2 linked regions of the Oreochromis niloticus genome follow. The main gene of each other region encodes a partner of the protein of the gene in region 2 in a complex. Links are inferred from orthologs where the notes say so. Each region holds a gene or a part of one and is shown on either strand. Other genes may lie near its edges.

What was found. Proteins that work in one complex are often made in the same cells at the same time.
Region 1: the proteins of sptlc1 (region 2) and ormdl3 are in contact, whole or in part, in a cryo-EM structure (PDB 7K0N), measured with the Homo sapiens proteins. The link is inferred for Oreochromis niloticus from reciprocal best matches to the Homo sapiens genes SPTLC1 and ORMDL3. Residues at the interface, in NP_006406.1 of Homo sapiens: Ala16, Leu17, Ala20, Pro21, Tyr23, His24, Leu27, Glu28, Leu31, Ile32, Trp34, Ile35, Leu38, Leu39, Ser41, Lys42, Thr43, Tyr44, Lys45, Leu46, Gln47; in NP_001307730.1 of Homo sapiens: Gly92, Val93, Gln94, Phe95, Thr96, Ala97, Lys100, Thr103, Ile104, Ile107, Tyr110, Phe111, Ser114, Tyr119, Gln121, Phe124, Thr128, Leu131, Met132, Leu139, Pro140, His143.

Annotation. Positions count from the first base shown.
Region 1 is NC_031973.2:5,869,824-5,877,719, forward strand, and holds the start of ormdl3 (ORM1-like protein 3), read left to right. Parts: upstream 1-4,893; 5' UTR 4,894-5,213; intron 5,214-5,779; 5' UTR 5,780-5,811; coding exon 5,812-5,985; intron 5,986-6,611; coding exon 6,612-6,763; intron 6,764-7,896. UniProt on the Homo sapiens protein: Plays an essential role in the homeostatic regulation of sphingolipid de novo biosynthesis by modulating the activity of the serine palmitoyltransferase (SPT) in response to ceramide levels.
Region 2 is NC_031972.2:8,069,015-8,076,973, reverse strand, and holds the start of sptlc1 (serine palmitoyltransferase 1), read left to right. Parts: upstream 1-4,956; 5' UTR 4,957-5,035; coding exon 5,036-5,089; intron 5,090-7,959. Other genes in the region: chondroitin sulfate synthase 3, read left to right, coding at 1-1,534. UniProt on the Homo sapiens protein: Component of the serine palmitoyltransferase multisubunit enzyme (SPT) that catalyzes the initial and rate-limiting step in sphingolipid biosynthesis by condensing L-serine and activated acyl-CoA (most commonly palmitoyl-CoA) to form long-chain bases.

The DNA.
Region 1 (7,896 bases), on a different chromosome or scaffold from region 2:
CGTAGACAAGGGTGTCCAGGACAGAGGGACAGAAGAGGGCTATGTGCCAGAGACTTTGTTCACACAAGATGAAGAGTCAACAGCCTCCCCATCCCTCACCCCTCTTTAGCCATCCCCCCTAATAACCACCTTCTTCAGAGAAGCTGCAAACACAATGCTGTCCCACTCCCCTCCTCTTGCTCTCAATCACTGCTGGGACAATGAGGGGAACTCCCCCCCCCCAGCACCCTACCACCTTCACCATCCTTCTGCCTCTCCCCGACCCCCAAACAGACACTTCTTTTATTGAAATTCTTTGGTGTTCTAATCCTCCGCTTCCTCCAGGAGCAATAATGGACTCCCTGCGTCAGCCTTTTCCAGCGAGGCTATCATCCAAGCCTGCCTGGGTCACAAGTCCACCCCTCCTACTGGAGAAAATTACCCCGGCAGTGTCATTCCTGTCACAAGCAGCCCATCCACAGGCCATAAAACCCCAATACCACTGACCTTAAGAACATATCTGTATTTGTGGCTAGATATTTCTGTGTTTTCAGGTAAAGCATTGCTCCATGCGTTAATTAAAGGCGCGACACTGATTTGCCAAAATCCTTTCTCTGCAGTGCTTCCAGATTTTTATAATTCTTTTATTTTATTGTGCTTTTTTCACAGTCTCTATCAACCTTTTAACATTTGAACAATTTCCTTGTGGCTGCAATTCACTGAGATTCTGAACTCACGAGTTGGTAGATGTCTAGAAAGTGCTGGAAATACAAAATACTGGATGAACTAAAATGTAAACCCGCACATTTTCTCGAAGAAGTGATGAGTACAGATTATACTTTATATGTTGTGTAAAGCTCATACTTGCATTGCCTAGTCTTATAGTCTTGTTATCTTCATTTACTAAAGTGGAAACCTGGTCCTATGACATGAGTAATCATTAAGCAACGTGCATTTAGACAGGCATTTAAAAAGGCATTGAATTCATTATATATAAAAACTTCTTTTTAAACACCTAAGAAGAGGCTCATTACCTTCTAAGTTTCTTTGCTGCTCAGAACGACAGAAAAAAGCAGGACTTAATTATGATAATTAATAATTACACCTCATATTATATCACTATGCCTCCACAGTTGTGTCTTTAAGAGTAGAAGCATCACAGTCCAGACTCCAGGATGGCAGCAACCAGTTCAAAGTGTGTTGATGGTGACATCTGCTGGTCTTCTACAATCAGACGCTGCTGTTTATCTGCATATTGCAGTCTGATGAGTGAAATATACAGGTGCCAAATACTCACTAATCTTTATGGTATCAGTAGCAAGAGATGTACAAAAAATGACTTTTTCAAACCTTGTAGAAGCTTTTTTTAAACGGACCAAACTGACTGTGTATTCTTTGACTGATTTAGCTTAAACTGCGATATTATAACATTATATGGCACAATATACTAAAGAATGCAACTTGTAGGCCCTTTGAGTTTGATTTTTTGCCACATCACAGAATATATAACTGCTTACAATTTTTCATTCCTGATTTTATGACTAATGTAAGCTACACTAGTTTCATTTTGAAAAGGTTATGATTTTTTTCAAATTACAGAGCAATATTTGGACTTGAAACAATGTAGAAAAAACAAAGAAGCATTCAACTAATTGTTTAAACTATGCTATAACACATGATTTACATGAACTGTTTAGTAACAGAATTTCAAGGCAGACAACAACAAATATATATGGTAAACTTCCTGGGTACAGATTTTTTTCCTGTCCCATTTTTTAGTTAAAATGTTCTTCCCAGAATACATGCACATGAGCTACAGTAATGTCTGTAAACTTATGGATGATAATTGGATACAGATTTATGCCTTGAAGAAAATATTCCTGGCTAAAACCATGCAAAGAATTTACAGTTGATTCGCATCTTAAGGGAGACATGGAAATATGAAATGCATCTCATCATTAAAAGCTCTTGTTGCTGGCATGCATCCTATTAATGGAATCGCATTACATCTGAAAGACTTAGCTAAATGAGCCGTAGGCAAAACCCTAAGAGTAGAGAAGTGGAGTTTACAGAGGAATATGTCTAAACATCTGTTAGATTTATAGCTGTGGAGAAATGAATGCAACCGCATGACACCGAAGCTTTGATCTATCATCATCAGTGGTAACTAAAGTTGTAAGACAACTATTAAATGGCACTCTGGACTAAACCAACAGCTAATGATTTAAAATGGCATTTTAACATATAACAAAACCTGTTTTTCTTAATTACATTTTGGTATTAAGGTTTACCCGCACCATCATTTACACGAGTGTGTGTTACTGAAATCACTGAAATACTCATCTCTTGATGTCAAACGTGCCCAGATGAGTACTTTCATTATCCCCCTCCTCCTTATATGTATTTTATCAGTGTCATGTACTTGGTCATTGTTCCAGTGCCAGAGATGATCTCACAGCACTGACATGCATAGTTCTCATTTGAGCAGAGCTCTAGGTTTACATATCTGACACAACTATAACTCCCAAGGCTATGAGCACACGAGACAGTCCACTGTCAGACGGCTAAACCCGTTTGATGCCACTCATCACAGGGGTACCCTTGGATACAGTAGGTGTCACATAACATTTCATGCAAGCAGAGGACTGATGACCCCCTTGGCTTCAGGCTACTGTGGGCCAAAGTTAGTATATGGGTTTATCTTGGGATCTAGAACACGACACTGTTGATCTTTTGATTTTGAAACCACAGTATGATCCCGTTAGACATTTACTGTTGCCTCTAGCAAGGTCTCCTCTCATCTTGGCTACATGAAGAATCGAGAGCTTTCTTTTATGTGTGTGTATAAAAATTTTGCTACTCACCATTTTGGAATTTTTAGCAGCTGTGAGAGCGTGGCTGATACTGTTTTAACTTGTGACTCCTTGTGTGTTACTGTGGCAAAATGCTAGCCTGTTGAAACCTAATGTAGTGTCTGTGGAGACTCACTGTCATTGGGATTTTATCAGAATATTCACTTTAATTCAGTTTTATTTATCTAGCACCAAATCATAACAACATTTGCCTCAAGATTCTTTATATTGTAAGGTAAAGACCCTACAATAATACAGAAAAAACAGCGAAAACCCCAATATTAAGATGACCTGCTTTGGGGAAACGCTTTGGCGACAGCGGGAAGGAAAAACTCCCTTTTAACAGGAAGAAAACTCCAGCAGAACCAGGCTCAGGGAGGAGCAGCCATCTATTGTGACCAGCTGGGGGTGAGGGGAGGAAGACAGGACAAAGAAACACTATGGAAGAGAGCCAGAGATATAAAGAAAAATAACTAATAAACAGCAGAGGATGAATGTATGGATTCATTGGTAACTTGTGATGTACTAATATATTTCAAGAACTGTCTAAAGACCAATTTCTGTAGCAACTGGAGTGAATCCATTGCTGGATGATCTCTAGATAATTTTGTGTTTAATCTCTCTGTTCCATCATATATTTATAAAATGTTTGTTTTTCTAAAAAAAACAGCCCTTCAACAGCTTCTCCAACTTAGGGCTGTGGGGGGCTAGACTCTTACTCTGCTGATATGGGGGGAAAGTATGGTGACCTGCAATATTTTTTGTCCTTTGTCACATCCTGTAATTGTGACAGTGTCTAACATTTTGATTTAGTCTAGTTTTCCAAGGCACTGCTATCCAGTGGTTATGAACAAAGACCATCATCATAAATCATGTGCATGTTATCATCACACTCTCTTGCTGCCTTGGCTACAGTATGCCAAACAGGGGAAAACAAACAGAGGAAGTCACCAAGTCTAAAGCTTTGCAGATTTCAGTGGAATATGATGGAAAATACCTTAAAGACAAGCAAATGCAGCAACAATAAAGACTATGAAGCTACTTATAACAGGATGACACTGGTGGAATTTTTTGCCTTTATTCTTGTAATTTTGACATTTCACATGGTGGTGAATAGCGACATGAAGTGAAACAGTGCATGTCAGTCTCACAAAGCTCCTGGGGCTAAAAACAAGAAGTGAAATGCAAATCTCAGTATGTTAGCTGGCTACTTTTAGCTGCTCCTTTATTCACAAGGGGATGCCACTGCACGACACATCAAATATGGTGCCAGATTGACAGATTTTTACAGCAGATGACCTTCCCGCCACAACTCCTAAGGGATATGTATCTCCTCACTGGATCAAACTAGGCATACTTCCTTGTTAGGGGAATGTGGAAACAACTAAATGATGGAGCCAATGGCCAAACTAAGGTTGTGTTCCTACTGAAAGCCAAAGACTATTACCAGACAGAACATTAACTTAAGGTTTCTACATTTATTGATAGAAGGTGTGTTAGAAGATGATGAAACAAACCTTTTATGTTTATTGAATTTGCCTAAATTTACTCAGGGAACTGGGAAAGTAGCATTTGACTAAAATGCCATATTGTTTGTCCCCAATGTGCTAAATTCCAGGTCAATTCAGCACTAACGTCAGCATCTGGGCACCTTAAAGGTGCTGTTATAAACGGATTTAGTATTATATACCCAACTGTAAGGCAATTATTTTATTAATAATACAATAGTAAAATTATTTTATATATATATATTTTAGTTTTTTGTCATCAGAACTAAGACGTTTTTATTTATTTATTTATTTAGATAGTTATTTTTGTTTGTTTAAAAATAAAAATATAAGCAATTTAATTGTATAAACTATACTTCCTCGTTTTTAAAATCAGGATTCTTGTTATTAAACGTAGCCTATAAGTGCCAATCACTTTTCCCTGAGCTCCTCCTCTGCCCTGACGTCAGGGAGACGTAGCTACGTGTTTTCAGCGCACTACGCTGTGATTGGCTAAATAAGCTCACGTGACTTGAACACAGCGTATCACTGAAAATTGCGAGGAGCAAAAAAACTCCTCTGAAACGTGTGCCGTGAGAGAGCGACGATGACGTAACACCGTGGACCGTGCTGTGTTGTCACCAGCTGTTGGCTAAAAGAAGACGAAAGAAAAGTGGACGCGTCTCGATGGATTGCGTGTTCACGAGGGGACCGTAGGGCTTACAGCCACGTTCGGAACTGAAGGAGGGGAACCGGGCGACTAATGGAAGCCCCGCAGACTCGTCAGCCGCGCAGGGATAGTATTAGTTACATAACTGAAGCCATCGATAACGGAAAAACTGTGATAACGGAGTAGTGCCCGTAAAGGTCGGAGTTGAAGCCATTTTTCTCTGCAGTAAGTGCAATGATTTCATTAATTAACCCAACGCATTTGAACTTTTCTTGTTTTTTGCTGTTTTTGCTTTCATGCTTCACTTCAAGATCTTTTTAAGGATCAATTGTCTCCAGTGATGTTTCCAGACAACTTGCAAAAGAGCATGCTGGAATGATCAGCGCTTGCGACATTGTTTACTCTAGTCAATCAGTTGCTACTGAACCAGCAGACACCAGCTTGCTCAGCAGTTTTTATTCACGCACAAGGCTACTTCTTAAAATGTGTAAATCTCATTTGATCATATTTCAATGTTTTCTCCATTTATACCACGGCAACAGGCATCTGATTGGCTTGCAGATGTCAGGTTAAAGCCATCATATAACCCACTGTTGCTTTATTGCAATACATAGTAATACATGAAAGTCATTATTTCCTTTATGCAGTTTCATTTAAGGGCAACCAAGCTACATGATTCATTTTCTTTTAGTTGAGTTCACTACAGGTGTCTGTATAACCCTTTAAATATTACCGCTTACCATTAGAGGTTGTAGATAGTCAGAAGGTAACATCTTTGGTTTTTGTTTCAGGAGACCGTTACACAAGTCTTACCGCCGCCATCATGAACGTGGGAACAGCACACAGTGAGGTTAACCCCAACACCCGAGTGATGAACAGCCGGGGTATGTGGCTGTCTTACATCCTGGGCATCGGCCTCCTTCATATCATCCTGCTGAGCATCCCCTTTGCCAGTGTGCCCGTGGTCTGGACCCTCACCAACCTCATCCATAATCTGGTTAGTGGTGTAGTGGTGTCCCTCAAAGGACCAGCACAGCCACGGTTTGCCTTAACCTTTACTGACTAGGTCAAGTCAGGTCAAATCAAGTCGAGGGCACGTGCAGCAGAGTGAAGAGGTTTAGGATGTGGTGAATGAGAGTAAGTTGAGAGCTGAGTCAGAGACATAACTGCTTGCTGCTTCACTGCTCTTAGACATGCCTTTGGTTAATGAGGTGGTTCTTTAACAAGCTTCTTATTTTTTTTTTATTTTTTTTTTTCAAATTTTCATAGTTCCTTTTTTTGTCTTTTTCAAATTGGACAGGCCCACATTTCTTGAGAAGAGCGCAGTATTAACCACACCGTGATCCGGTTACACAAGTGAATTTGCTAGTTGAGGCATGGGCTGTTTCATCATGCAGCTTAAAAGTGTTCCTAATATTGAGAACACATCCGACTTTTACTTATGAGCTTTACAGCAGATTTAGATTTATTTTAAAAGAAGAAGAAGAGGAAGCCCTTAACTTAGTAAGTTAACTTCCTGGAAGATTTTGTACTGAACAAAGTTTGCACTTGTATTCACATATCGATAATCCACTAGTGTGGCAATCATGTGACAACAGTGTTCTGTTTTCCCCTTCTCTGTAGTGCATGTACCTGCTTCTTCATACAGTCAAAGGGACACCTTTCGAGACCCCTGATCAGGGCAAAGCTCGCCTCCTTACACACTGGGAGCAGATGGACTACGGTGTGCAGTTTACGGCTTCACGCAAGTTCCTCACCATCACACCTATTGTCCTGTAAGTTGCATTCCTCTGCTTTTTTGTTTAGTGCTGCTTTTTAAGGACCCCAAAAAACGCTAGAGGACAATATAATGGGACAACACCTGAAGCAAATATGTTAGGTCTAAGGAGAGTGTAGACAGGAAATGACAACCAGAGTAGGTCATCAGTTCTCTGACAAGGACATGATGTCTCACTACCTTGTCATCCATCAGCTATTTTGTGTGTGACAGGCCTAAAGCACAAGCAGCTCGCTATGAATGAACCTGTGTGTTTGTGGCTTAATCACAATGCCAGTACCTTTTATTCTGAGTGAACTTGCACACACTTATACCTCAGTGAAAAATGTATGCTGCATTATAAAATTGAGTGCTTACTATCCTTTGGCGTGAGTGTGGATTGATTAGCATACACACTGCTCCCTTATTAGCCAAGCCTGCACATTGAGAAGGGGCACAGTGTGTGCAGAAGTGCCGCTTGCTGCTTTCTTGGCCTTTTTCTGTCCTTATTAACCACCACAGTTCAGTTTACAGGAAGCACTCTGCTTCCCCAGGGTTTATTTGCCAGCTCAGCACGAACATTGTAGCGATAGCGCTTTTGCAGGTGTGGACTTTGTTTTTGCACTTATTTAAAGGGGCTCTTTGTCATTTTGTTTCGTAACCAGCGCCAGCAGGAAGAAGTGAGCGGTCAGTCTTTAGACTCCAGATGTAAAGGCTACACATCTGCTGAAATCTTCTGGGAGTGTTTTTGTACATGTCCTTACCTGTTCCGCTGAGAGCAGGAAATGCAATTCATCATTCTCACTTAACAAAAACCCCTTACTGCCACACCTAAAAGTGCGACTCATATTAAATCAGCATAGTTTTATTTATCCCAGCATCTCACCAGGATTAACACAACTCTGCAAACATACAGCCAGCACACAAGCCGAGTTTATATAGAACATGTATGTGGTTTTGGGGGGGCGGGGGTCTCAGGGGGCCATAATAAAAATAATAAAAAATCAATAAAATAAGTGTAGGATCACATGATGAAGAACTGTAAAATAAGATGCACACATTGCTGAATTCTGCTAAACTCTATAACAACATTTGTTTTTTACTTCTCATATTTTACTTTGGTTTCCTCTGAGGTTACAATAAGAAAAACTA
Region 2 (7,959 bases):
AGGCTTCATTGAAGAACTTCACAGTCGCAAGATCCACAATGCCATTACGCTCCATCCCAACAAAAGTCCTGCCTACCAGTACCGGCTCCACAACTTCATGCTCAGCTGTGAGATTTCAAGGCTCCGTTACCGCACAATCCTACTCCACCGTGAAGGCCTACATATGAGTTATCTTAGTGATACAGAAATACTGTGGGAGGACCAACAGCTGGGTTCGCCACCTTCCTACATGCGCTATGTGCCCAGTGAGAGAAATGATGTCACTGAGTGGGATTTCCTGACAGGCCAACATATTTATTCTGCCGTTGAAAACAAGATGGCTAGGCAAAGCCTTGGAAAATTGCTTCGCACTGCCCTTGAAGACAATATTATACTAGAGGTCATGGAAATGATTAATGAAAATTCAAAGACACGTGGCCATGTAATTGACTTTAAAGAGATTCAGTATGGCTACTACAGGGTGGATCCAATACATGGTGCGGAATACATCTTAGACTTGTTGCTTCTGTACAAAAAACACAAGGGACGTAAAATAACTCTGCCTGTGAGGCGGCACGCTTACCTTCAACAGTCCTTCAGCCGGCCTTTCTTTAGTGAAGCTGAAGATCTAAATGTGTCAGAACTTATGGCTGCCATCAACTCTGAATCCCAATCCCTGTCATTCCTATCCAACTCTCTGAAGTTTTTGTCACCTTTCCAGTTCTATGAGTCAACAAGAGAAATGTGGGAGCAAAGCCAGAAAAAGATCAGCATTCTTGTCCCACTGTCTGGTCGCTATGGCACTTTTATTCGGTTTATGGAGAACTTTGAGAAAGTGTGTTTGATACCTAAACAAAATGTTCAGCTCTGCATCATTCTGGTGGACAATGTAAACAATAAGAATATAAAAAAGCATATTCATTTAATAATGGACTATAAGAGAAAGTATCCTAAAGCTGAAATGTCTTTAATCCCCATGACAGGAAATTTCTCACGAGGGCTGGCTCTAGAGCTGGGTTCATCACAGCTTGATAATGACACTTTACTGTTCCTCTGCGATGTTGATCTAATCTTTAGTGGTGATGCTCTGCAGCGCTGCAGAGATAATGCTATTCAAGGGAGACAGGTCTATTTTCCTGTTATCTTTAGCCAATACAGCCCTAAGATTGTGTATGGTGAAAAAGCCTCAAGTGAAAACAACTTTGTGCTCACCAAGAAAAGTGGCTTTTGGCGTGATTATGGCTTTGGAACCACCTGTGTTTTTAAGAGCGATTTACTAAAAGCTGGAGGTTTTGATACATCAATCCTAGGCTGGGGGTTAGAAGATGTAGACTTCTTCACCAAAGTTATTAATTCTGGTTTAAAGGTTTTACGCAGTCAAGAACCAGGAATTGTCCACATTTATCATCCTGTCAATTGCAATTCAAGCCTTGAACAGAAGCAATACAAAATGTGTCTTGGGTCAAGAGCAAGTGCATTTGCATCAGCTGTGCAGTTAGCAGAGATGTGGCTTGAGAAACACATAGAGGTAGGCTATAACAGAACTTCATCCTGATACCCCGACCTTCCAGGACTCCTCTACTTTCTGTTCTGCTTGAACGCAGATAGCTATGCACTGTGGCACCCAAGGCAGTCATGTCTCTAAAACTGAGTGTACTCTAACCAATGAAATGGTACTAGACACAGCTTAACCAGCAGGAGATAGACCAATGTTAAAGACACCAAAAGGAGATAGAACAGATCTGCACCCAATTTAGTGCAGAAGCAAGGCCAACTATCTGCTTCTTTACTTTCTTCTAAACCAGCTGGAAAATTGGTAAGAATGAGAAAAAGAAATATTTGGTATATGTAATAGCTAAATGTAGCTGATTGTTATTTTGTACAGTTATGCATCACTCTCTACTAGTCTCCTTTTTATACCGGCATAAATGAACTACTTGTTAATCTGGGTAAATTGAGGAATTATTTAAATGGCCGAAAGAACAAGTTGAATTATCCAAAATACTTGGCAATTAAAAAGTACTGTCAGGCAATGAAATCAACAGAAATTATTAATATGGTAAGTGAGATTTGTGAATGCTGGAAGTTATTCATAGAGTGATGTTTTACTTTGCTACAAGTTTGTGTCTGTAGCATAATTGTTGCCTACAACAATTATGTTGCCTACAACTCAGTGATTCAGTGAATTAGATACTTTGTTGCTTCTCTCCATAAGTTCTCATTGAGCAGCATGGTGTGCTGTGCTAAACAATCTGTATGTATGTGTAGGTGAGGGATTTGGTCCTGCTGTATTGATCTAAGCTAATCTACCTTAATCTCCCACTGCAGTTTAGAAATCATCTCGTGCAGATCTGAAGCTGAGCCTGTGTAGTTACCGTCTGTCCACATTTCTTGTATGCTTCTGTTCTAGAAATAAGTCCTGCTCAGCTGTCTTATTTCCAGTCTCAAGTCTAACTATAACCTGTTTGCTTTCATTAATTTTAGAGTATCATAATTCAGCAGCTTCACTGCCATCATTTTTACTCAATCAAAACCTAGGAAGACACACTAAGACAGAACCTCATTCTCAGTTACCCAAGGTGCATACAATAAATGTAGACACAGCTGAAATCAAATACCAATGAAAAAAGATATTATAGCTTTATCAATTAAAAATTATTGTAAACACCACTCAGTGTTGCACGTTATGTGCGTTTATGTACAATTGTGCCTTTCACTCTGCCGTCCCAGCAGCTTTCCAGTTGTTGCCACCTCCAAGTCCCAGTATCACTGAAATAGGGAGAGAGTGATTAACGAATTGATCTCAGCTGGCCTGCCAGCCTCCCTGGCACTACCCCCCTGAACCTCCATCCCACTAATATTTTTACATTATAACTAAATAAATAAAAATTTCTGTGATTAAACCAAAGGTAAAGGTACACGCTGCATCTAAAGGCTTGAAAGTGGAATGCACTACCTACCAATAAATAAAATACTCCGTTAAAGGCAGGATAACCGCTTTCACAATACTTTCTTATTCATGTGCAAAAGAAAATTTTTTTCTGCAAAACAAATCAAAAACATCTAACAATTTCAGTCACAGCATTTATAAGCTTTGATAATTATGTGTTATTATGCACTTTAAGTTTGCCATGCAGCCAGATGGCTAATGTAGGTATTGTTTTATTAATTGCAATTCAAAACAGACATTTTAACTTTTGTACAGTTTAAGATCAATTTCAGCAAGTTTATGGCTCTCTGTAACTCTAGAACTGATATAAGCAGTAGTATTTATTATAAAAATGAGATTTGATTGTAAAATATAAGCAAATGTCTAAATCTTGTGTTTAGACTGAAGTCCTGTTTCTGAATTGAATATAGGCTTTCTTCCCTGACTGATTAAGCAATGATCTGGTGACCTTTAAAATCCTTTAGACATTTGAGGTAAATCTAGTAAAGGGTTGGTTGAAAATTCCATTTTTAATTATTTCATGTTGATTTAATGATGTTCATATGGAAATGCAAAGATTGAATGCTGTTAATTTAGCTGGCTCTGAAAAATCTTTATTATTTTATTGACTATTTTTATTGTAATTATGCTTAGTGTAAATGATTGTCTTTTAATTCTTAATAGAAGATGTGTGATTATCCTTTATTGATTCTATTTTTATTTTTGTTGTTGTTAAATGTAACTACAGGAGTCATTAGGACAGACTCTTGAAAAGCTAAAATTAAACACAAATGAAAAATGAATCAACTTTTCAATCTTCAAGAAAGTGATCTGGAACCAACTGAAGTTTGAGGGTCATTCTATTTCCTTCCTTTGCTCACCACAAAATTTAGTTTAACTTGCTAGTTTTTGCAGTCTCAAAAGAGTGCCCCAAAAGGCTCTGCCTGAACTTTTGCACTGGTGGCAAAACAAAGCTCTCCACCAGATGTCACAGCTCCACACAGTTGGTTATTGAAGCTTGAAGTTGGTGAGTTCTTGGCCAAGCCTTTTGATTGGTTGACTGATTATGCAGCACTTTCTGGTATGAATATTTTGAGCCACCCCTGTTCCTGTCAGTTCAGGCAGACCTCTAGCACCTGTAATAGAGCTATTTTACGCTGACCTCTTTCAAGCGTGGGATGTTCTTCTGATGGTGCATTCTGATAATGCTGCAGTTTCTCTTTGTATGTTTTATTTGTTTTTTGCCACAGAAAATTGTTGGGCTAAATAAAGGGTGCTTTGTTAGCCACGAGCCATTTTACATGAATTTGTATCTACAATCAATCACAGAGGTAATACTGTATGTCATTACTGCGTCTGGACTAAAACAAATCATGGTTTCTGACCCAAATTTAGTTTGTTGGAATGTTTTTGTCTTTGTTTTTGTTTTTTGTTTTTTTCAAATCCTGTGTCAAAGCACTCCTTGTAAAAACCGGCCTTCACTAAATTTCACTTTTGTTCTTTGACAATTTGTTTCAGTACAGTCAGTCAGTTTCGAGTATTAAATTCATTAATCACACTAATGCTTTATGTAGTTATTCATTTGAATTAAATTTAATCATTGAGTCACCTTTGTGATATTAGTTTTCAGTTTTCAGCTATATTTGTCATATGCAAGTTAGCACAGGGTCAACATTGCAATGAAATGTGTTAGGCGAGCAGAAGACGAGTCTCTCAGCAGTATAGTACAATATAGGACTATAAGTTAAAATTATAATGCAATATAACACTAAAATTACAGTTCCAAGAAATAAAAGAGAAAATAGAAATGTATTGATGGAGCACCTTACCTCAATATTCATGTATTGAGGTGGGGTGGGACAACGTGACTGCACATGAGATAAAGTGGCAAGAGTGAGCAGCAGTGCAAATTTTTAGAGCAGTACAAGATTTAAAGTGGCATTTAGCACAGTATTGCATAGAGTAAGAGTTTTTATTTTTTTTATTTTATTATAAATATTATCTATCTATCTATCTATTATAAAAATAAAGTCATGGGGATTTTTGCGTGAGATAAGGACAGTAGCAGTGGTGCGTGACGTAATAGGGGTGTGGCATGATTGCGAGTGACGTTTCAGGAAGTCAAACATGGCGACCGGACAGCAATGGGTGTTGGTGGAAATGGTCCAGGCGTTTTATGAGGTAAGTGTTTCTTTTCCTCAGTTGTTGGGCCGAATTATTCCCTGACGTTTACTCGATTTTTCTTATGCTTGGCTACACGTTAGTGCTGTTAAATTTGTCCCAGGTTGTTAACTGTTAAGTTCTCGGTTGCGACCCGATGAAAGGCTCAGCCCGTAGTTGTTCAGCGAAGAGGCAACTCATCAAGGAAGTATGTAGTAGCTAGCTACTACTTGCACATTAGGTGAGCTACAGCGCTGGAGTTAAGTTTCTAAATGCACATAACACGATAGAGCTGCTACGACAAGAGCTTCAAACTGTGCTGAAGACGTTAGGCTAACTGTTGTAGCTTTTGTTTATCAGTGCTATGATTGGCTGTTTTATTATTAATAATATTATTATTGTTGTTATTATTATTGTTAGAATTACTCTTGTGGTCTGACTGTAGATTTCTGTCTTCCTTCACATGTTTTTGGTTAGTGATCGGGGAAACTTCTCAAAGTGATCAGCTATGTGTGTGTGTAGAGCGCGTCTCTTCCGTCATTTCGTAGGGCACTGTCATGATGGAATGAAGTAGGAGCATACTTTATCTTGGATATCTCTTCAACTATTCACAAGTGTCCATGTTAAATTTTTAAGCAATGACAAGTAGAACAGTCATTAGTGCTGTCACTTCAAAGGTAGGCTCTGGGTTTGAATCAAGAGAGCCAGCTGGGGCCTTTCTGCAGGAGTTTGCATGGTCGTGTGGGGTGGCTGTAGCTCAGGAGGTAGAGCAGGTCACTTACTAATCAGAAGGTTGCCCCAGTCTGCATGCCAAGTATCCTTGGGCAAATACTAACCCCAAGTTGCTTTGAGTGTGTGAATGCTTATAGATAGAAAGCACTTAAATCATAGAAGAAAGTGCTTGTGCGAATGGGTGAATGTGACATGTTGTATAAAGCACTTTGAGTGGCCAGAATCAGTCCATCCATTTACCACTTGTGCCTGTGTGGTTTCTTTTTAGGCACTCCAGCTTCCTCCCACAAAGACATGCAAGCTACATTAATTGTTGATTTTAAATTGGCTGTATTTGTGAATGGTTGCCTCTTTCTTCCTTTATGTCAATTAGGCTCTAGATGCCCAATCCAGGCAGTTAGAAAAATGTTGACTTTTCTTGGACATGTTTTAGCAAGTATCCTCATCCTCAGTTTATCACATCTTCATATCATTAATTTTCTGTTATGATGGTGTGGAGGTTAATAATGAATGTTAATAATAATTCAGTGTCCAACATAAGAGCCTCAGTTCAACTGGCCTATGTACGTTTATATTGCCCTGCAAAAAACATTTTTATATTTTTAAATAATAATGCAGTTTTATGATCATTTGATTTGATTTCACTTTAAATCTGATAAATAATGTTGAAATATCAAAGCCTTGAAATATGGTCTAGTACACCTCACGCCCCCCTTTAGACTCCCCCCTGCATGCTGCAGGTATCACTGCGATAGAAAGTGGGACGGCTGCCATCAGCCTTCAGCAGGCTGCCTAATTTAAACATGGGTCAGACTAAGTTAACAGTTCATCTGCATATTTTAATGTAATTTCTGCAGCTTTACTGTTTCTCGCTGTAGAGAATCTGCAGATAAAGCAAACGGTGGTGGATGGAGAAGCTACAAATTTCACTTTTCTTCATGTAAGAGTTTGCTGATCAGGTGCTTTCATTAAGGGCCAAAACCTTCTTCCCAGTAAAGGTTTTAATGGTAATTACAGGAACAGCACTGCTGTTTTGAACACTAGAAAAACGTTTTATTTCACTCTACCTGACTTTACTGTCTCAATAATGGTTCCACCTCTTTGCTCAACATCCATGTGTAGACAGACTCCACGTTAAACTATAAAATTATGCTGCGTAGGCTTAATGTCATCATACTACTTAGTCACATGCTTGTTCTTAGATATGTTCCTATTGCAAGTCTATTTTCAGTCACAAATTGGGGTGAAAAGCTCATGTTTACATGGTAACAACTGCACACTACACTGCCGTGTGTTAAACGAAACATTGGAGCAAAACATTTGTGTTGAGGATTTTTTATAATTGAGTTATTTTAATTGTTGGAGCCCTAGTAGAAATGCAGCAGTATGCTTTGGACTTCACTGTTGTTTTAGCTGATTGTGTTCTTCTTAATTTTTGTAACCTCGCATGTTGGTGCAGCCAGCATGATTGGGTTGAAGACATGAGTGTTCAACTGTGTTTTGTTTTTACTGCCATTTCAATTATCTTCCTCTTTTTCCTCCTCCTCCTAGTCAGTATCCTACTCTGTCACACTAATCCCTTACATGTCCTCTTTTACTGCATCAAAAAGTATTGGGCCAACTACATTTATAAGAGGTGTTTGGCCGTGGAAATACATGCCATGAAGTTCCTGATGCACAGTCCATGTGCTAAGAGGAGGTTTGGAATGCTCAACTTTTACAAGTGGTGTGCCTTAGCACTTAACACAATCACTCTAGAACTTTACATGGTCTGCAACATCACAGCTAAATGTCTTCGGTTTATAAACATTACTACTCTGCACTAATACCAATTACAATTAATCATGGAATATTTCAGAGACAAGAAATTTCACAAACTTAATTATTACATCATATTACAGTACCATGCTCAAATTCAGTAAACCATTTAGAGCAACCCTTTCTTTTGTAAATGTTTGAAAAGGCCCATTGCTTGGCTACTTGCTTTTTATACACTTGCAGCAATGAACTGAAAACAGGAATTCAAAGATTTAGAGTTGGGATTTTATACAGCTATCCGATGGATGTATGAAGTTCTCTATAGCTTAGTTGTTTATGTTGCATTTAAATTTCATTCAGGCATTTCCAGTGTTTCTGAAATGTTTCCACTTATTTTAATT